Astyanax mexicanus: one gene and its partner. The protein of the gene in region 1 interacts with the protein of each later gene in a pairwise test. Links are inferred from orthologs where the notes say so. Each region holds a gene or a part of one and is shown on either strand. Other genes may lie near its edges.

Region 1 (16,486 bases):
TGGAACGTCCTCCATACGGAAACGGCTGTAGCCCAAACCGCCCCCGAGGCCATACCCTCCATAACTGTAGGGGCTGTAGCCTCCGCCATAGCCATACGGACTATAAGAAGAGGGGAAGGAGTTGTAGGCCGGACGGTAGGTCTGCTGGACAGGCCGAGGTGGGACTGGTGGAGCCATACGTGTTAAAACTGGCGGACCTGATGCTGGAGGTCCATTCACTCCTGCACCAATAAAGTCACTACTCCTGAAAGTTGTGAAAGGATATATGATTCTCAGAATATAAATATAGCAAAATTGTAAAACGTTGGTATTATACATAGCTAAGATGTAATTTCCTACTCATTAATAGTAAGCTTTGGTGTCAAATGCATTGAAAAAGTATTAGCCTCCATACAGACTTCTTTTGCACATTTTCATTTTTTATTATGATTATTTTATTTATTTTATTTTTTTTACATTTTTCAGATTGTCAAATGACCTTTAATATCAGACAATGATAATCTGTGTAAATACAAAAAGCAGTTTCATGATTACGCCTAAACCTGTAGAATCAAAAAACCACCTACATAGAATCTTTATGAAAACATGAAGCAGCTAAAATATCTCAAAAAGCAGCCCATTATACCCCAATCTGAAGAAATTTAAGGGACAGAAAAGAAAACAAGTCATTGATTCTCTATCAGTCTGGAAAAGGTTCCAAAGTTATGTCTAAGGCTTTGAGAGTCCAGAGGACCACAGTGAGAGCAAATATTCACAAATGGTCTGGAGATGCTTTGCTGCTTAATTTAGGACCTGGACAACTTGCTCTTGGTGTAACCATGAATTCTAAAATTCTGAAAGTGAATATCCGTCCAACAGTTTTTGAACTTGGGCTCTGCAGCAGGACAATGATCCGAAGCACACCAGCAAGTCTGAATGGCACAAAAAAAAAAAATTAAGGTTTTGGAGTGGACAAGCCAAAGTGCGATTGCGAAGCTATGGCATGGTCTTAAACAGGCTGTTAATGCTCGAAAACCCTCCAATGTGGCTGAATTATTACAGTTCTCAAAGAAGAGTGAGCAAAAATTCCTCCGCAAACAAGTGAAAGACTCATTACCAGTTGCTGCAAACACTTGATTGCAGGTGTTGCCGTCATGAGTGACACAGTCAAGTTATTAGTTTTAGGGGGCAAATACACAGGCCAGGTTGTTTTAAATAGATTTTTTATATTAACAAATACAATTATTATATAAACAAAACTTCTCAAGTTATCTTTGTCTGATATCAAAATTTTTGTAAATCTGAAAAATATATGATTATTTTAGTCCCATCCGGGCGCACATCTCTGAGTTCCGTCACCTCACGTTTAATAAAATTAAACGTGAGGTGACGGAATTAATTAACTATTTGTCCACTGCCGTGCACTGTAATTACACTTTGCACATTTCTTTATTTGAAAGCCAGACAAATTTGGATCATCAAGTTTTTGAGCCATATTTAGTTGATGATAATGTTTATAATCTTTATAATCTTTACTGGTTTATAATCTTTAAAGGAATTTTTTGTACCTCAATGTAAGGTACAGCCCCAGCGACAAGCTTTGTACCCTTTTAAGTACTTATATTTCTTAGAGTGCACATTATCAGTCAGTGTGTGCCATATTTGAATCCTTACCTATTACAAAACGGGTAGTATTGTAATACTACCATGCACAAAGTACTCTGCAAAGCATGCACAGTAGAAAAAAAGTGTAATTTATTTGAAAAAAAAAAATGACAGAAAAAAACACAAAAACAATATATATATATCTCGAGTATTTATTTATTTAAATAAAAAAACTCAGCGCGCGGTAATTCATGCTTTTAATGTGACAACGCGCTCAGCGTTACGTCACCCGCACAAAGGTTTTTGGTTGAGAGGAGGGTATTTTGAAGCGCCGAGGGAAAAGAGCGACATCTTACGAGGAAAAAGTGTAATAATAATGGAGCTTTTTAGAATGAACAGCGTACATTCGCTCTTGCCTCCCACAACAGCACGGTTTAATGCTGCGTCTCAGCCGAGGACACGTTAGCGGTGGAGCCGAGAGAAGGTTAATATAACTTATTAACAAATCAATGCGATTAATATTAATGTACCTTAATAACATAATGACAGTGCTGTGGAGCGCTGACTATTAGTAATACTGTCTGATGTGTTATTAGTTTTATTAAAACAGACAATTCTGGACTTAATACAGGCTTTATGTAAGTGAACACAGCGCTGTGGAGTTTATAAACAAATACATGTCACCGTCCTGGTGAGAGGAACTGCAACATCTCTGCTGTTCAGAAGCTAAGATGCACAACATAATGCAAATTTTTATGTCTTTTTTATTGATTAATTCACTATAGTTTTGATACTTACAAGAAATCCTTGTTGAAAATAATTTCACTTAATGTATTAAAGCACTAATTATTACATTATTATTTATTTATTTATTTCTATTTGTGTTTGCAGTTTGGAAATGTGTGTTGTGAATTTAAAATATAACTTATCTAAAAAAGCAAATCAATTGGTTATTCATTATTAAGTGAAATGGCTTGTTTTTTTGTGTATTTTTAATTACTCTTTAAGCAAACAAATATGTTTCATCCGATTACTCGATTAATCGAATCGATTTTTCAGTAGAGTACTCGATTACTAAAATAATCGATAGCTGCAGCCCTATATATAGGGTTAAATGGGCTGATTTGTGCCAGTAGGGAAGTTGTGCCACCCCCTGTTTCTAGAGAACCACAGAAGAAATTGGTGATGTGACCACACATTTTTGAAAAGTCAACCATTTTGATTGTTGTGTCTCAACAGTTACAGACAAGTTTGAAAACATTTCACAAGTTTTAGTGCTTTGGTAAGCTACACTATGAGTCTATACAGCTAGCATGTTTGCCCAAAACTATTGGATGATGGATTTTTTCCCCAAAATAGTGGGGTTGGGGTAATTTGTGCCAGTACAGTACATTGTAATCTTACATTTTATCACTAAATCTATGTGACATTCTTAATTTTAGACCAACAATTTTGAGTATGCACAAAGAAATAACATTAATTTCCCTGCCAGCTGGATCAGAGAGGAAAAAGCAGGTTGGGTTAAATGTGCATTATTTGGGAAAAAGTAACAGGGAGCATTAATAATTATTTTCTCCAGGAACTCCTCATTATCAGTTACCACACTGCAGATTGCAAAACCTCACAGAGAAGCAAAATTGGGTACTTTGTGACTTTATATAGGTGAATTTATATATATATATATATATATATAAATAAAATCTACAAATGTACAAATTTATCTGCAAAGCATGTAGCATGCATTGTGTGTTTTTTTTGTCAATTCTTTTTTCTATTGTACATGCTTTGCAGATAAATTTGTGCATGTGTAGATTGTTTCACAGTTACAGTGCCTTGCGAAAGTATTCAGCCCCCATGTACTTTTCAACCTTTTGCCAAATTTCAGGCTTCAAACAAAGATCTAAAACTGAAAAAACTGAAAAGTGGGGCGTGCTATATTTTTCTACCCTCTTGCATTAATACTTTGATCACCACCTTTTGCTTTGATTACAGCTGCAAGTCGCTTGGGGTTTTGCGCATCGAGAGACTGAAATTTTTGCTGGAGCTCAGTGAGGTTGGATAGAGAGCGTTTGTTTTTGAACAGCATTTTTTTTTAGCTCTTTCCACAGGTTCTAGATTGAATTCAGGTTTGGACTTTTACTTGACCATTCTAACACCTGGACACATTTATGTGTGAAGCATTTCATTGTAGAATTTGTTTTATGTTTTGGATCATTGTCTTGTTGGAAGACAAATCTCTGTCCGAGTCTCAGGTCTTTTGCAGACTCCAACAGGTTTTCTTCCAGAATGCTCCTGTATTTGGCTTCATCCATCTTCCCATCAATTTTAACCATCTTCTATGTCCCTGCTAAAGTTGCATTTTGGCCAAAAGGTTCAATTTTGGTTTCATCTGACTGAGCACCTTCTTCCACATGTTTGGTGTCTCCGAGGTGGCTTGTGGCATACTTTAAAATGAGACTTTTTATGGATATCTTAGAGAAATTACTTTCTTCTTGCTACTCTTCCATAAAGGCCAGATTTATGCAGTATACAACTGATTGTTGTCCTACAGACAGAGTCTCCCACCTCAGCTGTAGATCTCTGCAGTTCATCCAGAGTGATCATGGGCCTCTTGGCTGCATCTCTGATCAGTCTTCTCCTTGTTTGAGCTGAAAGTTTAGAGGGATGGCCGGGTCTTGGTGGATTTGCTGTGGTCTGATACTCCTTCCATTTCAATATGATCAGTTGCACAGTGTTCCTTGATATGTTTAAAGCTTGGGAACTCTTTTTGTATTTAAATCCTGCTTTAAACCTGTCCACAACAGTATCTCGGACCTGTCTGGTTTGTTTCTTGGTCTTGGAGTTTGCTGCACTGAAAGTAAAGGGGCCGAATAATATTGCCCCACTTTTCAGTTATTTATGTCAATTTTTTTTTTAAATATCCAGTAAATTTCATTCCACTCCACGATTGTGTCCCACTTGTTGTTGTCAGAAATAAATATTACAATGATATATATTGCAATTTATACTAAAATCTTCAGTTATCAAAACTTGATGCATCATTCCTTGATTCAATAACAGTACAATTATAACAAATTTCCTATATTCAGATGGTAAAAGAAAAACAATACTACCAGTTTTGTAATAGGAAAGGATTTAAATATGGCACACACTTGCATGAAATATTGTTATATAGAGGTGAGAAATAAGCATGCATAATAACAGACTGATAATGTGGAGTAAGAGCAACTAGAAATATGTAGAACATGCCATTTATTCTACTTCAATATTGTATTGTAAGTGCTAAGTTCAGAGAGTTATAATAAAATGGTAGAATAATATTTCTAGTACTTCGGGCTTTTCACAGTATACTAGTTCTATTTTCAGAATTTGATGTCAAATTCAACAGACTATTTGATAATCTGGAGTTAGGGCAACTGGAAATATGCAGAACAGGCTATTTATTCTCCTTTAATCATCTTAAATGCCAAGTTCAGAGGGTCATAATAACAAAATGGTACAGTAATTTTTGTATTTCTATTGAATATTCACAGTATACTAGTTCTATTTTCATACTTTGGTGTCAAATTCAACAGACTATTTGAAAATATGGAGTTAGGGCAACAGGAATCATGCAGAACAGGCCATTTTTTCTCCTTTGATCTTCTCAAATGCTAAGTTAAGAGGGTCATAATAAAAAAGGAACAGTAATATCCGTAGGTCTTTAGACTATTCACAGTATACTAGTTCTATTTTCAAATTCAACAGACTATTTGATAATCTGGATTTAGGGCAACTAGAAATACCCAGAACAGGCAATGTATTCTCAATGTATATGCCCTAAATACCAAACTCGTTTTGCTTGGCTCAATCCTGCTCTCTACTGGCGAATCATTGGTATTTCGACTTTTTAAGGTGGACCGGAAAATCCGAATAAGACATTGGCGAATAAGACGCTACCTATAAGATGTGATTTATATTTGTTATGTATGCTATGTCGGACGGACATTTTGCTATTGCGATAGCAGTTAATGAGATTCAAATATAACAAAAACTTAGGTTAGTTAAGTTAGCTTAAATACTAGTCATAAAGTTTATTCCACCGACAGCTGTAGGTCACCAAACCAGTCAAGACACGTTATAGTTAAAACATGAGTCTGGACACTCTGACACGCAGTTAGGGTCTGTCGATGGACTAGATGTGTATTAAATAATATCAGACGTTTATTATCGGGATTAAAATATGACGTGCTTTGAACTTTCAGTTGCGTAAGAACGCGGTTAGTTTAGCTTAGCTTAGTGTAGCAATCAAGCTAACACACAACAACACAGGGCCTGTCACCTTGCTACAGGGCCAGTTCACACATACGCCTGTTTTTTTTTTCTGTTTTCTGAAAGAAAAGCAGGATTTGGAGAGAACCGTGTTACTGACCGGTAGTTTACTGGGGATGGCATCGCCCCGGGAATTCGTCTCTCCCAGGGTTTTGGAGGCGGCTGAGACATTATTCAGAGGTAACCAACCGACATCCACCCACTGCTGCGCTACTGCTTTCATATGCGTCTGGACTTTACCGTAATTACGGCTGCATAAACTCATATTTCTATTCCGCTAACGCCGTAAATATTCGTGTACTTGTTCCTATAAAAACTTGATTTTACCCCCCTTGAAGGTAACCGCATAAATGAAGGCTTAAGCTTATATATGTAAGACATTTAAGACATTTTATTACTGTAAATATATATTTTATATATTTTTTAATTATTATTTAGAATGCATTAGTTTAAAAATACATTATTTCTATTTTTATTATTATTATTATTATTATTATTATTATTACTACTATTATATTTCTTTATTTTTAACTTGTTCTTCATATGTTTTAAAAATATGTTCTATTTTGTATTTAGCTAGTTATTGATATCGATGCATGTAATATTATTATGCATTGTAAAGATGCTATTTTACTACTACTGCTGCTACTACTATTACTACTATGATACCTATAACAGTTAACTATTTTTTTTTAGCAAATTAGTTTTTTTTTATTATTATCTGTAAATTAGTACTTTATTTTTATTTTTAATCTGGTGTTGCTGCTTCCACTGCTGTCTGTTTGCTGTTGTAATAAGTGAGCTATCCTCTGTGAATACTACTGTGATCTAATTTTCTGACTATCTATATGTCCATGTGTATGGATTGGTTTAACGGACAGGGATAAAGCATAGTACTAGACTATGCAACAGTGTGAAAGGAGTGTCCACATTAAAAGAGATATGTAGTCCACAACTAGGCCTCTACTCTGTCTGGGAAACCAACTATGTCTCTATTATAAAAAGGTGCTAATGGATGGATGGATGGATGGATGGATGGAAAGAAAGAAAGATACTTTATTTATCCCGAAGGAAATTTAGGAATAATAATAACATTAATAATATCTTGCGAGATATTAATAATATCTTCGTTTCATTGTATTATTATTATTATTATTAGTAGTAGTAGTAGTAGTAGTATTATTAGTATTATTATAATTATTAGCAGTAGTAGTTTAAGCAGTGATGGCAGTGTTAGCCTTATTTTAACATACATCACTACAGGACAATAGGAGACAATATTATACCCCTGTTTTCATCACTAGGTGGAACTATTGTGTAACACTCTTTGTTGCTTGACATCTTTTGATTCCATTTTTAATGGGGAAGACTGAAAACTGTTTGACTTATCTGAGTCAAAGAGTCAAAGCTTTATGATATTTTATCTGTGCTTAATAAAGATAACAGCCTTGAGCCAATACAATTCTTTATTGTGTGATTCATCTCCCTGGTTATCTCCATCACTATTTTACACTGTTAATAAGCTCAAAGTATCTCGACACTTCATCTGTAAAATTCTAAGGGCCCTGACTTTGAAAATGAGGCACTGAGAAATTTGAAGGTTCACAGGTAGTATAATAAAAACTTTTTATACACTGTGCACTTTCAAAGTTCTTAGTGCCTCATTTAAATGTCAGGGCTCTTAGAATTCAACAAATAAAGTCTGGAGATACTTTGAGCTTGTTAAAAGGGTAAAAATTGTTCATTCGTTGCTATTGCTAGTATTGTAAGCCTGTTGGAATTATCGGCTAAAAAGCTCTGTAGTTCAGAATGCTGGGCTATTCAACAAAGGTTAGTACTTAATGTCATGTTTTACTACACCAAAATTCCATTTCATATCGGATTTCTCTTTTAAGAGACGGTTTGATTTTGTTTCTGTCTTTGAGACTGTAATGTAAATAGCCTCAATAGCTGGCTGACTGGATTCTCAGAGTGAAAAGAGCTCCTGTAAGCTGTATAGGCAGATATATGTATTGTAATTCAATTGTGATAAAACTGTGAATAAATGTTTGCTTAGTAATCCTTATGACTAGATAAAATAAGATTAGAGTATTCCCTTACGTAAATACTCTGCCGTTCTGCAAGCCTGAGCTACTAGCCAATCACAGCGCAGGAGACAAGACGAGTCTCGCCAATCCCAGAGCGGGAAGGGCGGGACTCTCCGGTATACGGGTGTTAAATAAAACCCACCGGAACTCGCTCTTTGCTCCTTGCGGTCGTCATCACGCAGAGTGACGAGGGGCGCGTCGGTCCAATCAGGGCGCGCCTCCGCAACCCAGGAACGAGGCGGATGATATGGCAGCTTTGTGAGCGACCAGGTGGAACCTCGCTTTTCTTGGTGTTGTTTTGTTTTCGTTAAATCGCGGAGGCCTCCGAGACTGACAGCCGGTTGAAGATGATCTATCTGATACTGATCTCCGCGCTGTCCGGTGCCGTGGTCACTATACTGCTGCAGCTGGCGCTGCTTTACCGGAGGAGCCCGGAGCCCGTCCGGAGAACCGAGCAGTACGGCCGAGCCGTGGCGGATCCAGCACTGAGAGACTACTTCCAGCACCAGCCGCACCAGCAGACGAGTGATCCGGGCCAGAACCAGCAAGTACCCACGGTGTCTTCCCGGCAGCATGAAGGAAACGCCTCAAAACCGCCACCAGCCCAGACTTTATCCCAACCCCAGAACCAATCTCAGCATTCCCAAACCCAGTCCCAATCATCCCAGCCCCATTCCCCATCATCATCCCCCCGCACTGACCCAGCACTGGAGACCTGTGGCTTCCTCAATGCCATTTTTTTATTCCTGTTTCGGGAGCTCCGGGACACTCCAGTTGTGCGCCACTGGGTCACCAAGAAGATCCGGGTGGAGTTTGAGGAACTCCTGCAGACCAAAACAGCAGGGCGCCTCCTAGAGGGTCTCAGCCTCCGTGAGATCTCCCTGGGCAACTCCGTGCCTATCTTCAAGACCACCCGGCTGGTGAAACCTGTGGCTGTCAATGACGAGGGCGTTCCAGAGGAGCTGAGCTTTGAGGTGGACCTAGAGTACAATGGGGGATTCCACCTAGCCATTGATGTGGACCTGGTATTTGGCAAATCTGCTTACCTGTTCGTGAAGATGACCCGGGTGGCGGGGCGCCTCAGGCTGCAGTTCACCCGAGTGCCCTTCACACACTGGTCCTTTTCCTTCCTGGAGGACCCGCTCATCGACTTCGAGGTAAAGTCCCAGTTTGAGGGCCGCCCTCTGCCCCAGCTCACCTCCATCATCGTCAACCAGCTCAAAAGGGTCATCAAGAAGAAGCACACGCTGCCCAACTACAAGATTAGGTAATGGTCTTCTTACTAAAAGTTCTCATTGTACAGCTTGCCATCCCCAAAGCTGTCAAATATTCTGACTGGGTAAGATTTTCTAGAACAAAGTATTTTACACCAAACCTATTCAAGTCAGCAGAGTTTTCCTTTACCTCACTAAACCTGGTTTGTGCACTTCTGCTCTGGTTTATTACTGCGGAGGTGAGTCAGGTGTGCTGCAGCGGGGAAATCGCCAACCTGTGCTGGAAAAGGCCTTTCTCAGCCAAGCCTGAAGCACCTGATCCTGCCAAGCAAGACATCCATTAGCTGGGGCAGGTGTGATTAAGCAGATTAGTGTTAAATACACTCTTCAGTAGAACTGAACTGATATTGACTAAAAACTTAAGCTATATGTCTGAATGTTTGTGGACACCACTTGTATGTAGTGAATGTTACTTTAGGTTACTGACACAGATGTGCAAATGCGCAAACAATTTCTTTAGCCCCTGTATCTGTACTACGGTTTCTGGAAAAGAGTGAGTGACTGTCTGACTACACCTGTTGCTTGGTTTGTGAAATAGTGTAGAGTAGCGTGGAGCTTTTCCCTGTGGGTGGGGTGTGTGTACCACACAGATTTTCTGTCTCATCTCATTGACAGTGTTGGAGAGATTTGACAGCCTATTGTAAAGATAGCAAGGTTACTGCACACACTATGCTATAAATATCAGCGGGGGACCCTCAGGACTATCTAGGCCTACAGATAAGATCTAAAGATTTTTTGGAATTAAAATCTGCAATTTTTGTTATTATTACAGTGCAACACCTATTACGTTATTATTACAAACTTTTAAGACAATAATATAGTATCATTTTAGAAGCGACTTCAATTATGCACAAATGTAATTAAGAACTGATTAAGAAATAATCCATGCTAACCCACATTGTAATTTCTAGTTGAAAAAAGTTTAGTTTAATAAACTGTTTACTGAATTAGAAAAGCTTAAATACATTCTATTGTCTGTTGCAAGCTCCAGATCAAGCTCTGAATGGGGCCTGTTTTAAGGGAACATGTCTATTTTTACACATTAGAATAGGTCTATACAACTTAGGGCTATACAAAATATGTTCCTGAAGTTCTTTGAATAAAATCACTTTTACATTAGAGATCTCAATAGCTCTAGTCCAATAGCTCTAGTCTTACCAATTTTAGTCCCTTTCAGAATGAGCTGATTAAGGATTTTTATGCAATTAAGCTGTTTCTGGCCAAGCCCCATGTATACACTGAGCAATTAACACACCAAAGTGTTAGCTTATGCTAAATGGCAAAACTTGAAAAAGCTGGTTTAAGTTTAACTGTGACAGAAGAACAAAACCCAATATTTTATAAGTATCTACATCTCTCTCATCCGCTGACTTGCCACAGAGATGCAGACAAAGTCTGCTGGCTAATCCTGCTGTGTACTGTCAGAGGTTCCTAACCAAAATTATTGAAATTACTTTTTTTCAACTGATCTAGTGGATGTGGTTCTGATTGGAGGGGTTGATGGGTGGAAAGTAACGCAGCGAGGACCAAACAGGTGTGTTTAAACCGATTGCTTCTAAACGAAGCAGCGCGACACATTTATCTCTACACCTTAAACAGAAGCATGCAACAGAAGCTGCTCCCAAATGGCTTTATAACCCTTTCCAAACTGATAGATCTCAATTAACTTCTTTCTCAATTGTTCCTGAATTTCTTTGGATCTCGGCATGATGTGTAGCTTTTAAGGATCTTTTGGTGGACTTCTCTTTGTCAGGCAGGTCTTATTTAAGTGATGTCTTCATTGAGAACAGGCGTGGCAATAATCAGGCCTGGGTGTAGCTAGAGACAGTGTACTCAGGTGTCAGAAACCACAGTGACGGTATGTATGTATGTATGTATGTGTGTATATATATATATATATATATATATATATATATATATATATACATATATATATTTATTTATATATATATGACATGCAAACTTTATGCTTAACTTGAAATTTTGACTTTGATTGTCTATAGAACAAGAGCAATATCATAAAAAGGAGAAATGCAACTGGTTGTTTTACAGTAATGTGTAGGTGTGTGTGTATGTGTGCGTGAGAGAGCATGCATTTGTAAATACAGTATGTGAAACAGGAACCCCTTAGTCACATTTTTGCTCTACAGTACAGTAAGTAAAGGTCAAAAAAAGCGTTGTAAAATTGCAAAAATGTATTGTAGAGAAAGACTACAGCTTATTACCGTATAATAAGAATTGTAATTTACTGTCAGACTATAAGACGCATTGAATTATAAAGCACATTATGCAACACTAGTAAGGAAGTCTACATTGAAGTGAGCAAGTGTTTCGCCATGTTTCCCTTCAAATGGGGAAGCTGGGGGAAGCGCCTAAGTAAACAAAACTGTAAATCATTACAGCGCTAGCCAGCCCTGTTTAGTTGCACTCGCCAGCCCCGTTTAGCAGCGCTAGCCAGCCCCGTTTAGCAGCGCTAGCCAGACCAGTTTAGCAGCGCTAGCCAGCCCCTTTTATTAGCGCTAGCCAGCCCCGTTTAGCAGCGTCAGCCAGCCCCGTTTAGCAGCGCTAGCCAGCCCCATTTAGCAGCGCTAGCCAGCCCCGTTTAGCAGCGCTAGCCAGCCCCGTTTAGCAGCGTCAGCCAGCCCCGTTTAGCAGCGCTAGCCAGCCCCATTTAGCAGCGTCAGCCAGCCCCGTTTAGCAGCGTCAGCCAGCCCCGTTTAGCAGCGCTAGCCAGCCCCGTTTAGCAGCGCTAGCCAGACCAGTTTAGCAGCGCTAGCCAGCCCCTTTTATTAGCGCTAGCCAGCCCCGTTTAGCAGCGCTAGCCAGCCCCGTTTAGCAGCGCTAGCCAGACCAGTTTAGCAGCGCTAGCCAGCCCCTTTTATTAGCGCTAGCCAGCCCCTTTTATTAGCGCTAGCCAGCCCCGTTTAGCAGCGCTAGCCAGCCCCGTTTAGCAGCGCTAGCCAGCCCCGTTTAGCCGCGCTAGCCAGCCCAGTTTAGCAGCGCTAGCCAGCCCCGTTTTGCAGCGCTAGCCAGCCCCGTTTAGCAGCGCTAGCCAGCCCCGTTTAGCAGCGCTAGCCAGCCCCGTTTAGCAGCGCTAGCCAGCCCCGTTTAGCAGCGCTAGCCAGCCCCGTTTAGCAGCGTTAGCCAGCCCCGTTTAGCAGCACTAGCCAGCCCCGTTTAGCAGCGCTAGCCAGCCCCGTTTAGCAGCGCTAGCCAGCCCCGTTTAGCAGCGCTAGCCAGCCCCGTTTAGCAGCGCTAGCCAGCCCCTTTTATTAGCGCTAGCCAGCCCCGTTTAGCAGCGCTAGCCAGCCCCGTTTAGCAGCGTTAGCCAGCCCCGTTTAGCAGAGCTAGCCAGCCCCGTTTAGCAGCGCTAGCCAGCCCCTTTTATGAGCGCTAGCCAGCCCCGTTTAGCAGCGCTAGCCAGCCCCGTTTAGCAGCGCTAGCCAGCCCCGTTTAGCAGCGCTAGCCAGCCCCGTTTAGCAGCGTTAGCCAGCCCCGTTTAGCAGCGCTAGCCAGCCCCGTTTAGCAGCGCTAGCCAGCCCCGTTTAGCAGCGCTAGCCAGCCCCGTTTAGCAGCGCTAGCCAGCCCCGTTTAGCAGCGCTAGCCAGCCCCGTTTAGCAGCGCTAGCCAGACCAGTTTAGCAGCGCTAGCCAGCCCCTTTTATTAGCGCTAGCCAGCCCCTTTTATTAGCGCTAGCCAGCCCCGTTTAGCAGCGCTAGCCAGCCCCGTTTAGCAGCGCTAGCCAGCCCCGTTTAGCCGCGCTAGCCAGCCCAGTTTAGCAGCGCTAGCCAGCCCCGTTTTGCAGCGCTAGCCAGCCCCGTTTAGCAGCGCTAGCCAGCCCCGTTTAGCAGCGCTAGCCAGCCCCGTTTAGCAGCGCTAGCCAGCCCCGTTTAGCAGCGCTAGCCAGCCCCGTTTAGCAGCGTTAGCCAGCCCCGTTTAGCAGCACTAGCCAGCCCCGTTTAGCAGCGCTAGCCAGCCCCGTTTAGCAGCGCTAGCCAGCCCCGTTTAGCAGCGCTAGCCAGCCCCGTTTAGCAGCGCTAGCCAGCCCCTTTTATTAGCGCTAGCCAGCCCCGTTTAGCAGCGCTAGCCAGCCCCGTTTAGCAGCGTTAGCCAGCCCCGTTTAGCAGAGCTAGCCAGCCCCGTTTAGCAGCGCTAGCCAGCCCCTTTTATGAGCGCTAGCCAGCCCCGTTTAGCAGCGCTAGCCAGCCCCGTTTAGCAGCGCTAGCCAGCCCCGTTTAGCAGCGCTAGCCAGCCCCGTTTAGCAGCGTTAGCCAGCCCCGTTTAGCAGCGCTAGCCAGCCCCGTTTAGCAGCGCTAGCCAGCCCCGTTTAGCAGCGCTAGCCAGCCCCGTTTAGCAGCGCTAGCCAGCCCCGTTTAGCAGCGCTAGCCAGCCCCTTTTATTAGCGCTAGCCAGCCCCGTTTAGCAGCGCTAGCCAGCCCCGTTTAGCAGCGTTAGCCAGCCCCGTTTAGCAGAGCTAGCCAGCCCCGTTTAGCAGCGCTAGCCAGCCCCGTTTAGCAGCGCTAGCCAGCCCAGTTTAGCAGCGCTAGCCAGCACATTGTTGTTTCAAAATGTATTGAGTATATTCTTTATTTACTATATGTTCACTGTATTAGTTTTTGCAATCTATAACTGTAGTCTCACAACATAGCAGAAAAGTCTGTTTTTACCCCTCAAATATTACTATTATACAGGTGGCAGTTGTTTTCATACAGTATATCAACATGTATTGTGTTCTACAGTTATTTACTATATGATTTTCTGACTTTAAGGTTATAAAGATTGGTTTGAGACCTGATTTGTGAAAATCTGATCAAACTAGAGTAGTTCGGTATACCGCGGAGGGAACTTTTACCGTTATGCATTTTAGTTGCTTTGTTAATAAATAAAACACATATCTGAAGTCTAAACCCCTACATTCTTCCCTAAAAATAACTTCATTCAACGTTCAACTTTATTTTATCACACAACAGTACTGTTTTCAAAAAGTGTAACCCACAGGTATTTACTGTCTCCTCCGCTGATACTGCTGCGAGGTGCATTCTGGGTTATCGGCTGTAAGAAGTCCACACAGGCTTTTCAGGGGCTGCATCCTTCGAAGGACTCATTTGAAGGCCGATTACGTCACCGCGGTGCGACTAGGCTGTCCCATTTCAAAGACTCCTTCGAATGCGGCCGACGAATGCAGCCTACTTTTGCTCGGAAACGAAGCATGCATCGCGTGTATCCTTCGCAGCCTACAGTATCCCAAGATTCATTGAGCGCCAGTTTATTTCAGAGCAAAAAGAGCGGAGACGGCAAAGGAGTCGGCTGTATTATGTAGTTTATAGATATATAAATACTTATAGATATTATAAATATTATTTAGATATTATATAATTTGTATTATTTAGTGTATATATGTAGTATCTTATATATATATATTATAGATATATAAATACATATATTTATTTACATAAATTAAATAATATATATATATCTGTTTGTATGTCTTATGTATTATTTAGTTTATTTATGAGTATTGTTTAATTTATATATATATATATAAACTACATAATACTATATACATATATATATATAAACTACATAATACTATATATGTATATATATATATATATATATATATATATATATATATATATATATAAACTAAATTATATTTTATTCTAATTTATTCTCTTTTTTCCAACTTCATTTCAAACGCCCTTTTATTCATGTTCATGTTCAGCTCCACTCGTTCACATTTAAAATATTTAAGTAACTGCACAGTTAATTAACCTGGACTTAATTACATTGGGTTTTTTTGTGGTCTGAAGTAAAACTAGAATCAAAATCTCTGGCTCATTTCTCAGCTCTGACTTTGGTTGTGGTGGGTAGAATCTCACACAGGAAACAGGAAGTACTCCGTAGGGTACACTGTCCCATTTCAGTATAGCCGCTGCAGCCTTCCCATCCTTCAAAGGACACACCTTCTTAGACCGCATCCTTCGAAGGATGCATCCCCGGAATTGAGACACAGCCACAATCACCTTCTATGCATCCTCGATAATGTGGGAGGAGCAAGAACACATCCGGGTATTTGTTGTGTACTTGGCTAACTGCAAACTTACTGCAAGTACTTGGGCTGCGTCTGATGGCGTTTCCTGAGTCCTAAAGAACACAAGTACATACAAGAACGCAGATTGAGAAAAGGATAAACACGGTCTAGCTCCGTCCTGCAGAGAAGTCAGAGCAGCTCCTGCTGCCGTTTCTTTCTGATCATCAAGTCTGATTTCTTCATATATTGTTTAATTTTTTGGGGCAAAGTAAACCCAATACTAATCAAAGCCTTTATTAAAAGTCTTGGTGTTTAATATGAAATGTATTCCTAACAGTACAGTAACTCACAAACCTATATTAAAGTTTATATTCTATTATTTTTTAATCTAATAAACTGCATCTCTATATATATATATATATATGGGTCAATGACGTGACGCCTAAATTTTAAGGTTTAAACCCATAAAACGTTGTCATAGATACATAGTCTCCCTCTCACATTTGTACTTACTTTTACTTATTAAAAGTAATTAGTTCATCAGAAAGTTTTGGTTATTTAAAGTGTCAAAATATCATGTGGTGCGACTGTCCCACCATGACTATTGTTTTGAGAACTTCTTTAAAACCTATATATATATTTTTTTTTTTTAACCTTTTCGGCATGATTTTCAAAGTGTTTTTGAGTCCTGTGCAAAATTGCAAAGCATTTGTAATTTTATTTTCATCGTAATATATAAGCAAAATTTGTCAGATAATCTCCATTTTATAGAATATCATGTGGTGTGACCATCAAGAAACCATTATGTTAAAACTAATTTAAATACAGGAAGTTGCATCATTTACCAGTTTGCCAGGGACCTGTGGAATCTGCGAGCAAGTTTTTAAGTCTCTTAAATTTGATTAAAAAAAAAAAAAAACTTTTTAACAGCTGGAATGTAGTTGCCACATTTGGATATCATGTGGTGTGACCTCAAAAAATTGTGAATATTAAGTTATTTCTACAAATATATATTTTGATTATAAATTTCATAGTGACCTTTTGTTAAGGTGGCCAATTCTCTGCCTGTACATTCTGACTGAACTTGAAAACATCATGTGGTGCGACCATTGCAGAGTGTTTTCCATGATAGATATATGGTCTAGATTTTCACTTTTTGTGCTAGTCTTCTAGTAATAGGGGAATAGGGGAAGTCT
Region 2 (17,539 bases), on another chromosome or scaffold:
GTCAATATTATTGCGTACAATACAATGTGGCAAACGAATTTGAATAAATTAAATAATTTCTGCCAGACAAAACATAAAATACATTGGGTTCATACTATCTGCAATAAAAATAAAAGCACTGTAAATCTAAGAAACAATTTTTATTTTAATTTTATTTTCCATACTGTTTGTGTTCAGCTATATAATCTCTATCTTTCACAACTGTTTCAATAAAAATCTATTTATAAATGCTAAAAAGACAAAAGGTTTTCATGGGGTGTCCTAACATCTATGTGAAATGAAAAACCCACACAATTATTTCTGTGTTCAGATAAAAGGGTTAAATGGGATTTTTGGCAATGTTTTGCCATTATTTAGCCAGAGATCATGTTAAATAACAATTTCTAAAGCTTGTCCATTCTCAATATACTTTGTGGGCAGAGCCTGGATCAACATCAAGCTAATCAAACAACAAATAATCAATCAAACCAAACAACTCCAACTGCTTTCTCAGAAACAGTTCAGCCTTTCCAGTAACAAAGGGAGGCCGCTTCTGGCGTGGTCCTGAACAGCGCCTGCTGCCTAGAACTACTGTGTTCCACAAGTCCCCAAAGAACTAGAAGCTCATTTTCAAAACTAACATATGAGCAACAGATGTCTACCATAACTGCAGGGCAAGGGGTGACAGCAAAGCGGAGGGAAAAGAGAGAAACCAGGAGGAAAAAAATTAAAACGGGATTAGTGAAAAAGACAGTGACAGAAAGGCCGAGAAGCCACCAACCCGCCCCCGCCCTCCGGCCAGTGCCACTGGCTGTAATGTTAATGTTGGCATCTTGTTAGACTGCCCCCGATTCCTGGGCTTTGTGAGGTCTTTTTTTCCCCTTCTCCCAACATGGTGGTGATAGCAGAGGGGCTCCGGAAATTCGGAGACTGCTGAGCCAAAACAGATCACTTCAAAGCGCCTTATTTAACGCTCACTAAATTTTTCATCACAGTCGCTTAATATCCTGGGGAAGGGGAGCTTTTGAAGTCGCAGCGAGACCGGCATGTTCTTCTGACAACTTTTTCTTTTTTTTCCCCTCCCTCTCCTCCTTTTTTACCTCCTCCCTCAGCTTCTGCATCCCTGCCTCTTTCAACAGGAGGCCGGTGATATTTGGGGCACACAGAGCGAGCCCAGCGGGCAGGGCAGGGTCGGCCTGGGAGTCTGTTCACATACAGCCCTGCAGCATAACCTCACTACCAGCTCAGGGTACGGTCATTAGGGGTGTGCCATATCATATTGTACACAATGATATTGTTAAAAATTATAAAACAATATATATATATATATATATATATATATATATATATATATATTATTAAAATCAATAAGCAGTCTATTTTGTATGATGATTTGCTGTAAAGTTTAAAAGGTATAATTTTTGACTGTTGCCATTTATTGTATATTGATATAGTACTCATGTTACATGACGTTACTTTTATGATACATTTATTTTGCTGTAAAAAATCTTGTTAGTTTTTTATCAGTTATTCATAAAAAAAAAAAAAAAAATCTGATGTTTTCTGTTGAATGTTTTTGTTGAAGTAGTATATTCTGGAAAGAATATATATATATATATATATATATATATATATATATATATATATATATATATATATATATATATATATATATATTCAGCATTTTAGTCAAACCAGCGAGAATACCGTTATTATAAACATACCCTCAAATATCAAGATATTATTTTAGGTCCACATCACCCACCCCTAACAGTCCCCATTACAGTGGAGTAAAGGCAAAAACATTTAACGTAAAGCCCACTTATATAAACAATCTTAATCTATATAGACAAAACTGTCATAGGATACCTATTAATTTATTGCTTCTACCAAAATCAAGGGTAACTGGAAAAAAAATAAAGTAGTTGTAGTAAATGTAACTGTCCCCATTGTCCATGGAGGACTTTTAATTATACTGTATCCCCAAAGGACTGGATGAAGCACTATTATTCCAGAGAACACAGTTCTACTGCTCTACAGCTCAATACTGGTGGATTAATCCATCTCTAACCCACAGCTGGCATTAGGAATGATGTAAATAGGTTAATGTATAACTGCTACAGAGAGTCCTATTCTACTGGCAGTACTTCTCTACACAGACAAGACAAGCTGTGTGTATACTAACTCTATTTGTAAGTAAATGTGGATGGTGATAATGAATAAGGAACAGATTATTATTAACAATGTAAACCAAAAGATAAACCTAGACTCCCAGTGGCTCAATTCAAGTTTTAAAGAATTTACTCAATATGTGAAAACTGAAATGGAGATCAAGACAACAGACAGAGTACAACACTGTTATCTTGCAGCCAGGGCTTAAACACTACATAAAATAAAGCAGTGAATTAATGAATGAATCATCTTAGAATCTAAGAACTGACAAAATACTGCAAAAAAAAAATCAATATTTCTAGTAATATTAAAAAAAAAAAAAAAAAAACTTCCATAAGCAACACTGCAAAAGAACCATTTGTGGTTGCTAAAACAGTTGCGAGTGTAAAGCATCTTTTTATTATCTTCTATAAAACACTCTTCTAGCAAAAAATACACACTAAAATACACACATTTGAGTTTTCACGTTTTACACTCCTAATTACACCTCTAATTATCATTCAGAGACTTTTACACCACGTTCACACACTCAAACATCAGATGTAGAACGTGCTATGCTGTTTGCCTGAGGTGGAAATTTTCACAGCATTAAAGAAAGAGGAAATGTACGGGAGGCGTGAGGGAGAGGAATGAGGGGGAGAGAGACAGATAGAGATAGAGAGAGAGACAGATAGACAGATAGAGAGAGAGACAGATAGAGTAAGGAATAGAGCACAGAGGCTGAGCCGGTGAGCTGGGTGGGGATGCCAGCCCCCGGAGGCGAGCTTCATTCAGGCTTGAATGGGACTGGTGCTGGGTTTGATTGACAGCGCGAAGCGGAGCGCAGGTCCAAACCTGCTATGGCTCAGACGGCCGGGGCCGCCTGCCACCGAGGAGTGAGGACCGCCCATCCCGGCGAGGTGAGTCAGAACCTGTTAGCATGAGTGCTGTCCCCAGCCTGACACCCCGGCACAGCCGCCCAGAGCCTGCCTCTGACTCCCTCCAACCCTGCCACCAGTCCCCTTCCTCTCATCCACATCAAATCCTTTCAGACACAGATTTCAATTATTCACCTCATCCAAATAATGCCTTGTGACATGAATTATCCAGCACTGTAATAATCCACTTAACTGGGAAAGAGCAGCTCATCAAAAAGAGAAAAGGAGGGGGAAAAAAGGCGACTTGTCGACCGGTTAGGAGGCCGAGGAGCCTTAATAATCCACATTTTTTCCGCTTTTGAGGTGAGCGCCTTGAGCTCGGTTTGAGATCATATATGCCGTGAAATCACATTAAACAAAAAGGAACAATTCAGAAACTAATCATTCGGATGTTACTAAACAAGCTGCAGGCAGTGTGTGTGTCGGTGAGAGAGGGAACACAAAGGGGATGGGTTCGATTCTGGGTTTTAAATGACATATAAACCAGTAAACACTCTTAACTACAGGATAATAACTTCTGGGACAAAAAAAAAACGGCTGAAATAATTAGAATATGGCTGATTACGTCTGCTCATCAAAAAGACAAATAAATAACCTCATCATCGTCTCTATTATGTCTAGCTCTAAATTTATGCAAAACATTATGCTCAACCCAAATAGATTTATGCAAAATATTACCCTGATGCTGTCTCTGAGGTGAGATGTTAAAGTACATGTTGTTAAAACACATAACAAGAGAGCTTTCTGGACACCTTTTATATGGCAAACAGCTAATACAATAATATTAACATTATTTGGAGTTATAGGATAATAAGTTACAGCCTTTTGCATTAATGATTAATAACACAGCTAGGGATGAGTGGACCCTATTCAAAACTAGCTTTCAAACATTACTTATTAGCAGATTTAAACTTAATTCCTTTACTGTGACCAAAACTGCTTCTACCAGGTATTAGAACACGTTTTGTATCCGTTTCTGGATCTATTTTGATTACCTTGATTCTGTTTACACTTGTCACTAAAATGCATCCTTTATGCATACTTTCCTGCATAAAATCAAACAAAACATCCATAACTTCTGTTTTCCCAACTATAAAATTTGTTGATCTTGACCATTGTCGTGCTCAGAGAAAGTGAAAAGTTTAGTAATAGTGGAGTTTTAGACAAAAAGGTCTCAAAGCCCTTTAAAATGTGGCAGATAACAAACATACAAACGCCTGACTGACAGAATTTAATATTAAAAAGGCCATTCTGTTCACACTTGCATTAAAATGTGTACGAAATCCATTTTTTGACCATTTTTTTATCGGATAACTCAAACCATGTTTGGAAGAGGCCATAAATAGACATGGGGTGTTTAGTCCTACATTCTGATGCAAACAAGTGAATCTTAATGTTATCAGATCATCATTAGAGAAATCACTGATATATATTATTTATCAGGATGATATCAGGATAAATGCAAACCTCGCAAAAAAGGTGTATATATAAAAAACTGAATTGTATTTAAAACAAATACAAATCCCATCATTCAAACCCATTTCAGGCGGTGTTCTGACACACATTTGAGCCACATATTAAAACAGTGTAAATGTATCTGAGTCTACAAGACACAATCAACAACCAAAACTTCTCCCAGTACAACTGTAACACCAGTAATAACTAACGCACAATTTTTATGAATGTACATCTTCCATCCTGCACAGAAATCAGATTTTGGGCTGACTAACTGGAGGCACATTGGGTCAAAAAGTGTAAAAATGCATGTGTTTAAAACATTAAGAAGTGACCAGGTGTAAACAACAGTGTGTAAGCGCACAAGATGGTCTATCATAATCTGAGTAAGCATGTTGAGAGCACATGTTTAGACTCTGTGTTTTTAGAGGAGTTTAGTGAGGAAGGATAGAGGTGATATTCAGAGCACGAGTATCGTCTTACCAGTGCTTCTCGTGGTGGAGCATCGTCTCGGACTGGAGATCCACTCTGCAGAGAAAAGAGAAGAGAAGGCTTGTGTTACAGCTCCACCTAGAGGTGTTTCTTACATAATACAGTGAGTTTAGCTGGACTTATTAACTAAACTGAATTCTGACTTCATTTCCTATTAGAAATATTGTTAACTGTTAGCAAACAATCTGTTCATTATACATGATCATTCTTTACATTTCTAACTACAAAGCGGGAAAATTACTTATTAATTACTCATTAATTGACCCTTTTATTACAATACAAAACAGAACAGATTAAGTGGGGAGTAATGCTATATTTATTTCTACACTGAACTCTATTTACGAGGCACGTCACAATAATTACATTATTAAGTTAAAGTACAACAAATGAGCATAACCTCAATAATGCTGACCTCAAATGTTGCCAATTCTGTTTCTATACACAAGCAGAACCCATAAATATCAATAAAGCTGATATGCTGACTTGGTTTAAAAACAACAGCAGGTGCATTTTATTAATGTTTTATTTATGTAGGATATTTTTAAGAGACGGATTGATCAGCATTTTATGGGCCAATCACCGATCGGCAGGGTCCAATCAACCATTCCAGGCAAACTTAGTAATTTTACCTAATTACAGCCATCTAAAACAAACAGCTGCCTTAAATAAACAAACATTTAAAAAAAAACAGCATACAGTGCTGTGAAAAAGTAAATGCCCACTTACAGATTTCTTTTGTTCACACAGAGTCAGGTTGGTTTGGATTTTTTTTCTTAACAAATTAAATCATAATTTAAAGTATTCTTTTTGGTTGTCCGATATTAAAATGTGTTTAAAAGAAATATCTTTATCCAGAGCTCATCTTTCTGCTTTTATATTAACTATTGATACTGTATGCTGAAGATAATGGTATTTTAGAAAAGATTTTAACGGTTTTATAGGATTTACAGGAAAAAAATACCCTATCAACTACATTAAAGCCAGTGATTGTGACACTAAAAAACAAAATTAAGATCATTATTTACAAAAAACTAAAAATTAATGCAAATGCTTTATTTATAGACACTTAATATTAGTGGGAATTTGTAAAATAAAAGTAAAGTGTATTAAGGAAATGTATTAATTTTAACATTAATCACAGTCGCACCACATGACATTTTGTAAGACCAAGGCCAACTCTTCTAAATAAAAATACACTAAAATCACTCTAAAATCTAACATTTTAATATGAGTTTGTGTTCACAACATTTTAAATTTTTGAACAATTGCAACACATACTTTTATTTTTTGTATTTTAAAATTGGCATGTGTGTGTGTGTGTGTGTGTGTGTGTTTTTAAGCATTTATTCTAATAATAACAATATTCTACTGTGACATCATCCAAGCTGTATATATAATATGCCACACATCCTCTCCCACATCCTCTCCTTTACATTACAAACACTGGGAAACCCCAGCTAAGAGTCTGACACATATAAGCTAAGCTAGCGTTACCTACAATACTGCAGAATTTATTAATTTATTTTTGCACACCTGAAAAGTTGTGATTTTTTAAATATTATTTTAGATGGCTGCTGCAGTACTGGTGGTTAAAATGTGGTGGTTAATTGTTTGTGTGGTTAGTAGTGTTTGTTAGCTCTGGTACACACTGAATGGGCTGAACGATGCACTGTCCCGAGCAGTATTATCCAGTTAGTGAGGTTAAAAGTATTTTTTCTCTTTCCTCCATGAGGAACAATAATTTGACACATTGTATATACAAATAAAAACAGCAGAAACTGCTAAACAGAAACAGCTAATCTCCACACTGACTGCTAACGAGCTGTTAGTGGCAGCAGCTGTGCTCCAGCACCAGAGTTCCATCTAGTGGTTGGACGAAGGTACTGCAGCTTTCTAAGACCAAGCTTCACCAACTGTAAGCCGCACAGTTCTGCTGCAAATCTTAACTCACCTATATGATCTGATAAGTTCTCAGGATTGGCCGATAAAATAAATACCCTGATATCTAATATATTTAAAAAAACACACACACACACATTATTTATAGGTATACGTTTGAGCAAAATGAAGAGTGTTGTTTCATTCTACAAACTACAGACATTTCCCCCAAATCAAATTTAAAATAAAAATATTGTCATTTAGAGCATTTTGCAGAAAATGAGAAATGGCAGAAATAACAACAACAAAAAAAATACATTTTGTTTTATCAATGCTTTATCAAGCACTTTGCATCTAAAGATTTGTTAAGAGACTGTTCTGATTGGATAAACAGTAAACTTTCCTTTTACTCAGATATTGTGCATTTGGAGTGTTAATACCAATACATTTGTCCTATAATTTTATTATATATTTATTTATATATATGGTCTTGCTTACAGTATAACGATAGCTCAGTGTATCATTTATTAGTTAATGAAAATAGAAAATTGTGTGTTAAAATTTGTTTTTTATTTTTTCCAAATTTGGTGTTGTAAATAAGAAATGTTTTTTTTTTTTTTTTTTTACAATTTTTGTAAATTTTTGCATCTTGTAAGAGTAGGTTGTGCAATACCATTAAACCGGGAAGAAAAAAGAATAAATATTTTTGGTGAAAAGAAAAAAGAAAAACCTTTTTTACTAAACCAAATGTGGGAAAAAAATGATTAAGTTTTACACCAATTTTTAGGTTTAGCCTCAAAAACAGTAAATTAAACAGATGAACACTGACCCAGCAAGCTAAGAAAAGCTCAGAAAAGCTTAGAAATCTAAAAACCTTTTACAGACACCATAATTACTGACACCAGTCACAAAATGTAATGTGCAAAAACACACATTTTCTAACGTCTAGTTATTGTGTAAACAGAGTCCTCCCTATTAGTGTCTTTACTAATAGTTTTAAATTAGATTTAAGCTCAGTCAATTCTTCCCACCATTATAAAAGATGAGACTAAAAGGTGGGTGACGACTGTGGAACAACAGCGGCCTGTTCAAAACTGAACACAGGAAGTAGAGACTTAGCACGCTAATGTTATTAGCTCAACAATAAAAATGGAGCAAAATTCAGTCATTGTTTCCATTGTCAGTGATCCATGCCTGTCCAAAGGGCTTAATCAGGTAATAAAATTCCAGCCACTGCCAAAAGAAAAGTACAGCAGACATCTAAATAACATCTCAGATAGTAAATCTCAGGTGAACGGATTACACTCTCTTTAATGCCCTCTCGTCATTTTACTCCGTCTCTGTGCCCATAACACAGGTCTGTACTTTACTGTCCTCTAGTTTTATACTGAATTCAGACTGAACCCATTATTATAGTTCATTCCTATTACATTCTGGATCCCTGACAGACAATATCAGAATATGGACAGGGGCCAAGGTATTGTTGGATAGGTTGCATGATTATTAAGGGTAAAGGTGAGCAGTATGGGGTAATTTTAGCTTACACATGATCAGTGTACTGCAACTGCATGCTTCATTACAATAAGCATGTCAATGTGATGCAAAATTCTCAATTTTATTTTTTTTCAATAAAAATGAGGAATCCAGTTTTACTGCTGCTGTTTACATTTTACAGTTTTTACCTTAATCACATACAGACTGTGAAGTGTAAGTAGAAGCAAAGTTATAATAGTGTGAGGTGCTGGAGTCTCGTGGACAGGGGTTTAAACAGAAGAAACCTTCAAGTGTCAAAAAATAAATAAATAAATCACAGTGAAAGCTTTAAATACCAAACAAACACTAGGTCAAAATAAGTCCTGCCAAAGTTTACAAATATGATTGATCTAGAAACCTTAAAACATTTTTTTTTCATGCAAATGAATCCTCTTACAGAGCCTGGTGATGTATCAGTGGTTTTATTTAGTGATGTAAACACAGAATCACTACTGAGTTTAAAGAGTAGATTTTGTATTTATTTATGCTAAAATCTGGATTAAATCTCATAACTAACTACTCCTTTCTTTTCTCCTACACTCACACACACAGCTACTTTGTTGTTTTACGACACCTTGTCATTACATTCAGTCTTATACAGATAAAAGGGTGCGATTAATCGTAGAATGTTGATTCCATTAATACGATTACATTTTAATAAGTCATTAAAACAAATTAAGCCTTATTGCAAAAATACTTTCAAATGTAAAGCTAAAATCACTTCCTCACATTTGCCCCGTTTTCTATTTTGCGGATCTGAAAAAATAAATTGTGATTAAAAATCATGATCTGGTTTAAACTGTGAGTTCCTTATATCTGTTAGACCACCGACTGTGACACAATGTCAGACTCAATTGTCAAAATGACAGATAAAGTTTTTTTTTTTTTTTTTTTTACATAACACTGAAGATACTTGGTCCCGTTAAACTGGATGTAGGAATAAGAGAAAATTAAAATGCATATCCTGAATGCATATTCTTTTTTCTCAGAAGGCCAATCCTGATATCACAGCCTGATTCCTCCATCAGAACAAGGTGAAAAGGACAACAGAGCTTCTACACTTTCACTCACTTGTTGGATTTCAGTCGGGAAGCTGACAATCATTCGGCACTGTAACAAAACACCAGCAGAGCCTGGAAGCTGATATTGAGCTCAAGAGCAAACAGGGGCTCAACTCCAGTACAAACCAGCAATAACAGCAATAACAGAATCTACAGTGCAGAGGTCATATATTCAGCACAAATATCAGAATTCAGGAAACACTTAATGAAAGCGCTATCAGATGTCTATGCCAACAATGAGTCAGAATTAGGTTACATAAAAAGGCTGAAGTGAACTGAAGTGAATCACATCAAATAAAAATGACCGTTTGACAGCTAAAGTCCTTTAGGGAGATTTAGCAGAATTTCAGTGGTGACGCACTGTTCTACTGTGCAGCATATATATTTTATTGAAACACAGGTGCTCTAAACCACCCAAGGCATGTCCTCCAATTTGACGTACTAAAGTTACTGCTTCATTACTCCACATGATCTCGCTCCTAAAATGAATTAGGTAAACCTTCAGTGAATACTAGTTGTCAAATTCACCAATAAACCCATAATTCCTGGTATTTGCTTGTTTAGGATGAGTATTTTATCTACATATTGTGAGATGCCCGGCGATTCCCACTCCTAGTTCTTAGACCCCTACCCTTACATATTTTTAGTTGGATCAGGTGTGCTGGAAGCAGGGAACGGACTAAATGTGCAGGACAGGGGGTTCCATGACCAGGATTGAGAAACCCTGCATTAAGCAAACACACACTTATCACACTGAGCCTCTCACAGAGTTTCCTAACACTGATAACAGCGTCCAAAGACAAACCCTTCAAACATGATCAGAGAGAAACACTGATCACTCAGGCTGAGATTCTGTACTGAGAACTAAAGGATTTAAAAAAATATTAATAAATAGCCTGTATAATAATTAAATCGCTAATATTCTTCTTTTGCTGCGGAAACACAAATGTGGGTTTTTTTTCCCAGTTAAATATTTAATTAAAATCATAATGTTTAATGCTTAGCACATGCATAAAGGTTGCATGTATTATAAAAGTTACATATTTTTGTATTGTGTATTATCACCATCTTTTATAAAACATTTAAAATATTGTTTAGCTTCTATTTAGTACTTCTGGATAAGACATTTCAGTGGCATTAACATATGTGATTATTAAGCATCAAAAGAATATCTCAAGACAAGTCTGAATTCAGGTGGTGATTTTTGGCCAGGCAATGTATATACATAGATAGCTAGTCGGACAGAAAGACAAACAGATAGATAGCTATATATTTAAATAGAAATTTACAGAAGAATAGCTAGAAAGACTCACATAGACAGATAAATAGCTATATATATATATATATATATATATATATATATATATATATATATATATATATATATATATATATATATATATATATAGAGAGAGAGAGAGAGAGAGAGAGAGAGAGAGCGAGAGAGAGACATGTATGGACAGAAATAGATGACTATCTTTACTGTCCGTGAAAGGTTTCAACCAGATTGTTGAGCATTGCTGTGAGAATTTGATTTCCTTTAGGCCAAGAGTGTTATGAAGACAAGATGTTGAGTAGATTACCACACCGCATCATCCCCAACACCCTAATGCATCCTAATTCAATCCTACTTTAAAAGTCCTATTCTTTTGATAATACAGGAACTAAAAAAACTGTGCATGTTTTTACACATTAATATCAGACATTTTAACAGATGTTTGATAGACAGACAATGGGATATAAAGACAGACAAACACAAAAAAACAATATACAAGAGAGGAACACAGACAAACAAAAATAGACAAGTACTGACAGATAGATATACAGATAAGACAGAAAGTGATAAATAGACAATATACAGATGTATACAATAAACAAACATAGAAAAACAGAAACAGAGCCAACCAAAACAGAACAGTCATGTAAAAATAGATAGGTAGATAGATAGATAGGTAGATTAAAAATGATGAATTTCTTTGATTTTACTCAATTGAAAACCTCTGGAATATAATCAAGAGGAAGATGGATGATTACAAGCCATCAAACCAAGCTGAACTGCTTGAATTTTTGCACCAGGAGTAAAGGCATAAAGTTATCCAAAAGCAGTGTGTAACACTGGTGGAGGTGAACGTACCAAGATGCATAAAAAACTGTGATTAACCAAATATTGATTTCTGAACTCTTAAAACTTTATGAATAAAGTTGTTTTCTTTGCATTATTCGAGGTCTGAAAGCTTTGCATCTTTTTTTGTTATTTTAATAAATTACAAAAAATGCTCTAAGTGATAATATTTTTATTTGGAATTTGGGAGAAACGTTGTCCGTAGTTCATAGAATGAAACGACAATGTTCATTTTACTCAAACAAATACCTATAAATAGCAAAATCAGAGAAACTGATTCTGGACCTGTATATAGACAGATAAATACAGACAAATACAGATATAAAAGAGAGAGAAAGATAAACAGATACAGATGTATACAACAAACAAAAACAGGCAAGACAGAAACAGACAGCCAACCAAAACAGAATATTGGTGTACACACGAGTATGTAGATGTAAGAGATTAAACACAGAGCTCTTTCTCTCTGTAGTGTTTAAGGCTGTGCGGTATGTGTGGTGTGTCAGTGCAGTGCTCAGGCTGAGTGTAAACATTAACACGCTGCTCTCTCTGTGGACACTGACCCGGGCTCGGCTCTGCACACATATCCGTTAGCTAGTTAGCCTGCTAGCCTTGTAGTTCCAGAGCTGAAGATTGCTGCTGGCTTTATCTACACACATATAAACTCTATAACTAAATAAACACGATATAGTTAAAGTGTTAATAAAGCCCTGGCTGGTTTATAAACGGTCTGCGGGAGGGCTGGAGCTGCCTGTGGCCTGCAGCTGTCAGAAACAGCCCGCTAGCAGCAACAGCAGCAGCAGCTGGGCTAAAACTTTTCCTCCACCAACTAACTAACCACAGATACACTAACACACACAGACCCAGCACCGCACAGCGGCCCGGCCTCACCGCCGCCAGCCCGTTTTAGCTCTTTACCTTACTGTGCTGCTCGGACTGATCCGAGGGCGCCATCCTCTCCAGCCTGCAGCTCCTGCTAGCTAACCCAGCTAACAAGTTACAGCTGAAGCGACTGAGTTTCTGCTTCGACTCACCGAGTCTGGGACAGGCTGAGTAATCGAGCCAGAGCTGCTGAGTGACTGAGGCCTAGTCACCAATCACATGGGGCTTCCACAGGTCCACTGATAAATTATAACCTACATTTCTAAACAATCAAAGACAGACAGAAACAGACATACAAAAAGTTAGTTAGAAAGACAGACAGACACACACAGACACACACACACACACACACACACACACACACACATACACACACATACACACACACATATATATAGATATATATAGATATATATATAGATAGATAGATAGATAGATTAAAATAGACTGACAGACATATAGATAGATAGATAGATAGATAGATAGATAGATAGATAGATAGATAGATAGATAGATAGATAGATAGATAAGAGTCAGACAGTCACACAGAAAGAAATGTACATACAAGTAACGTTAGATATTTACCTGATCTTTCTTGATTTCCAATCGCATGACTGGAACCAAAAATAAAAATATGAAAAAGAATTAAAATAAGCAGGACATTTCGATTCTATTTCCTATATTTTATTCTATATTCCTTCTCCTCTAAACTTCACAAATGCAATTACTGAAAAAAGATATTTACAGCTACTTTGTGTCCTTTTAGTTATTAACCAAAATGCTAGTCTTTTTCCTTTTCAAAATGTCAAAGATACTACACGTGATACACAGCACAGCACCTAATAAATATATAAACATAATAAATATATAATATTTACAGATTATTCATGTATCGTTTGTGCTAATCATAAATATAAAGACCTAAATTGATAATACATTTCTAATATTTGTCTGCTGTTGTATAGTTCTGTCCCATGGTCTCTGTCTCTAAGAAATGGGGCAAGAATCCCCGTTAGATTCATTACAGGAAACCTGTCGGTGTAACAGGACACAACATTACACACTATTTTATATTTTTACAGAATAAGCAGTTTTTTTCCACACAAATAATGTTAACAACACACAAATTATGTCCACTTTAAATATAGCTTATATATATATATATATATATATATATATATATATATATATATATATATATATATATATATTAGAATTACTAATTAGTAGTAGTATTGAGTACATGTATTGAGTTTGAGTAGGCACAGACACTGGTGCTTAAAAAACTTGACTTGACCAGAAAGAAAAAAAAACTAATTTGATGTAAAGTTATTTTTTAGGTAACCTCATATCATAGCTAGATAATATTTGTATATTGGACCTGGTTGTGGTACAGTGTTTAAATGCTAACAATGTGAACTCCAGTAAATATTAAATTGGCTTAAACTACAAGGATATTCAAAGTATAACAGTAAAGTACTCCTCACCCGTGACTCCAACACTGCAACTTTCCACCGTGCAGCACTTCTTCTTGTTTTAATAAACAGAAATGGAGGCGTCGTATAATTCTGAATAACCGCATTGCTAAATTAACTGGCGTTAGCTCCACAGGTACTCACTGCAGTAAAATGACCGGTGTTCTGTCGAGTCGTGCTTCCTTGTCAAACCGTGCTTCCCTAATGTATATTAACTGTAAAACTACAAAAAAAGAGAACAATATTCGAGCATGTTCGTAGTAGACGTATATATAATATATTGGGAAAGCATAAATCACTGTATAATGGTACAAAATACAGCCAGATATCATGATATTATCATTTTTAAATAATAATTATTGTATTTATTGTTATTCATTTCCATTTACACTTCTGTGCAATGACAGTGAGTCGAACTGTTGTTTAATGCACAAAAAAAACAGATAAAAAAAAAACGAGAAATACTTAAAAATTGCAGGTCAGCGCGCATGCGCACTGCCTTTAAGAAGCACGTATCGATGGGTAGCTTAATTTGACAGAACACCTGTTGTAGCTTTTTAAGTAGAGCCGGATGTTTTGTCGAGTTCTGCTACCCATCGACGAGTGCTTCTTATCGACACTGCGCATGCGCCGACTCAAAATTATTATTATTTTTATTTTTATGTTAATTCTGTATTTTTCGTGTTATTTGAACCTGATCTCATTCTCATTATTTGATTGAGTTTTACAAACAAGGTAATAGCGACTAATAACAATAAATAAAATAAAAAATAATATATATAAAATATATATGTGCTTTTTTTTCAAAGCGCGGCGTATATAAGGTTCGATTTATTTGTTTTTATTTAAACTGTTTCTGAGCTTTAGAGCTTCTGAGCAGCAGCAGCAGCAGCAGCAGCTTTTCACTTCCGAGAGACACTTTTACAACTGCATACCCACCACCTGATTTACACTTTAGACTGTTTAATTATCTTTATTCTGATTTAATTATTCTGTAATTGTTGTATTTTCTTTGTTGTTGTTGTTGTTGTTGTGTTTTTTGTTGTTGTTTTTATCTTCAGGTTACCGGATCAGGTGAGGGACCAACGCCCCGCGGTCGGAAATGGCCTGGTGGCTGAGGATTTCTACCCTCCTTCCACGTGAGGTCAGTAGACATTTTTCGCATTTTAGACCAAACCCATATTCATAAACTGAACTAAATAAAACTGAATAAAATTCAGAAATAAAGCTGGAGATGGATCAGCTCGAATTAAAGTGAGTATCTGTTCTGCAGGCGGAGTCTGGTGCTCCAGAGGCTTCACCTCCTCACACTCCGCCTCTTTCTGTAAGTATCTATTAAACCTTTATCAGACCCAGTAATATATTTATATATATATATATATATATATATATATATATATATATATATATATATATATATATATATATATATATAAAAATGTCAGATTTACTGATATGGACTAATTTCGATCCATCAAACTAAAACAGATTCAGTTTGTGATGTTTTATAAAGCATGATAGCACATAATTAGCACTTTTTATTTAATAATAAATAGTCTTAATAGTTCATTGCTTTGACATAAATTCTCTTTACACTGATTTACAATGGAATCAGCCATAGTAAAGCCAATATTGCCATAGGTACACACAGTGACAGTTGTCTATTATATATTGTTACATTTATATGAAACCCATACTATAAAAACTTGTATACTGTGATATTTTTGGTGTATGTTTTCGATGATGGTTGGAATTAATTTAACATATGTTTCAATTGCAGGTGGACTCCGATCTGGACTTCAGCTCCGATGACTCCAGCCTTCTGTCCACCAGTCTTCAGTCGCTGGGTGAAGTGCCAGAGCCCTGTGTGGAGCTGAGGGCCTGTATTATGCAGGTGAGGAAAAAGTGCACAATAAAAGATTAAATTGCAGTGAAGCATCACTGTCATACAGCTGCATCCAAAACCACATATCACCTAAAATACTGAAACAGTACAGCAACAAAAGTAGTGCATTAATTAGAGACGGAGATCTGTGCAGCTTTGACACACTTATTAAACCTGGCTATTAGCTGAGAAGCAAGAAAACCACCATGCAGTATAGTATATGTTTATTCAGGGTAAATCAGAACAGTGCACATGGTCTTACAGTATATTTTAGTACAGTATTTAATAAGTACATTTTGTATTGCTTGACTTTTTTCTTAAACAGTGCATAGAAGACCACCTCCCCAGCACCATGGAGCCTCCCTCTCCTCCACATCCCAGGCCAGTTCAGGGAGTCATTGTGTCTGTTGCAGAGGCAGTGCCCTCTCACAGGCTGGACTCCTCTGAACCAGTGCCTGGCATCATGGCTGAGCCAGCTGCACAGGTATTTGGAGTTTGCAGTCAGTCCTACATCATCTCTGTCTTTACCTCATCATCTTCAAATTGAACAGCTGTGCTTCTTTAGAAACCCATTAATTTTTTCCTCTCGGTTTCTTGTAGGTTGTGGCTGGCTTGGACCATGATGTGGAGGAGGACGGTCGTAGGCAGGATGGTATCGGAGAGGAGGAGATTCTGGAGCCTGCTCCCAGTCTACAGGTCAGAGTTCAGTGTTATTTAAAGCAGCATACACCTTTAAAACGAATGAGTATCCTCTTTAAACAGCATTTTTTTAAGGGTTAACCATCTCTTCACTGCTGTAACACTGTGAATGTCCACACAGATTGACTAATGAAGGATTTTTTTTCTTCCCTTGTTTATCTTCTCAGTCGGCAGAGCCACCCCAGCAGGACACCGGACACCTCTCACCGACCCTCCACACTCGGGGCAGGTCCCAGAAACAGCGCAGCACCACATTTAACCTGTGTAGCTTGCTTTGTTGTTTCAGGTCTCGTCGCCGAGTCGGGGTGCTGGTTGGGGAGGCAGACCACAGGCTGGACCTTCAGGAGACTGAGCCAGTGCCTGCTGCACAGGTAAGAGTTAAAGGAATAAATCCTGCTGTACAGCAGCTATAGAGGAATATCTGCAGTATGTAGAAGCTTCTCTAGATATTTCAAGTATGTATCATGTACTATCTGTCATTTAGTAATAATCATCCTATTTCATGGTATAATCTAGTCCTGCACTAGAGTTTTATTCAGTATTTAGTTTTTTTTAAGTGTTCAGTAAATATTGAAAATTTTCTATAGTAAAATTATTAGTGAAGTCTCTTTTTTACCACTCTGTCTTTAAATGAAAAGTTAAGGTCAGATGTTCAGCATAAAACAGTAAACCTCAGGATCAAGAAGAATAATGCAGATATAGGGAATATTGTATTTGTGCATTAGTAGAATATTATAGCAATTGTGCTGTTTTGTTCTATTGTCTATTAATGTGTATTAAATGTTCTTGTCAATAGTTTTTACACCGTGTCTTATTTTATTTTGTTTTCTTGTGTCATTTTTCCTTGCAGGGAGGATGGCTACAGCGCTTCCTGCGTCGCTTTAGGAGGACAGCCAGGAAGCGGTGAAAAGGCTGCCCATATAACATCTGGGAGCAGAGCTTCTTTTTACACACATACATACACATACATACACACATAGATACATACA

What was found.
Region 2: the proteins of pex13 (region 1) and pex14 interact in a two-hybrid assay, tested with the Homo sapiens proteins (2 studies listed by BioGRID and IntAct, with this or other methods). The link is inferred for Astyanax mexicanus from reciprocal best matches to the Homo sapiens genes PEX13 and PEX14.

What each region holds. Positions count from the first base shown.
Region 1 is NC_064421.1:35,739,353-35,755,838, forward strand, and holds the start of pex13 (peroxisome biogenesis factor 13), read right to left. Parts: upstream 6,142-16,486; 5' UTR 6,067-6,141; coding exon 5,996-6,066; intron 245-5,995; coding exon 1-244. UniProt on the Homo sapiens protein: Component of the PEX13-PEX14 docking complex, a translocon channel that specifically mediates the import of peroxisomal cargo proteins bound to PEX5 receptor.
Region 2 is NC_064420.1:41,366,578-41,384,116, forward strand, and holds the start of pex14 (peroxisomal membrane protein PEX14), read right to left. Parts: upstream 6,985-17,539; 5' UTR 6,767-6,984; coding exon 6,665-6,766; intron 5,052-6,664; coding exon 5,007-5,051; intron 1-5,006. UniProt on the Homo sapiens protein: Component of the PEX13-PEX14 docking complex, a translocon channel that specifically mediates the import of peroxisomal cargo proteins bound to PEX5 receptor.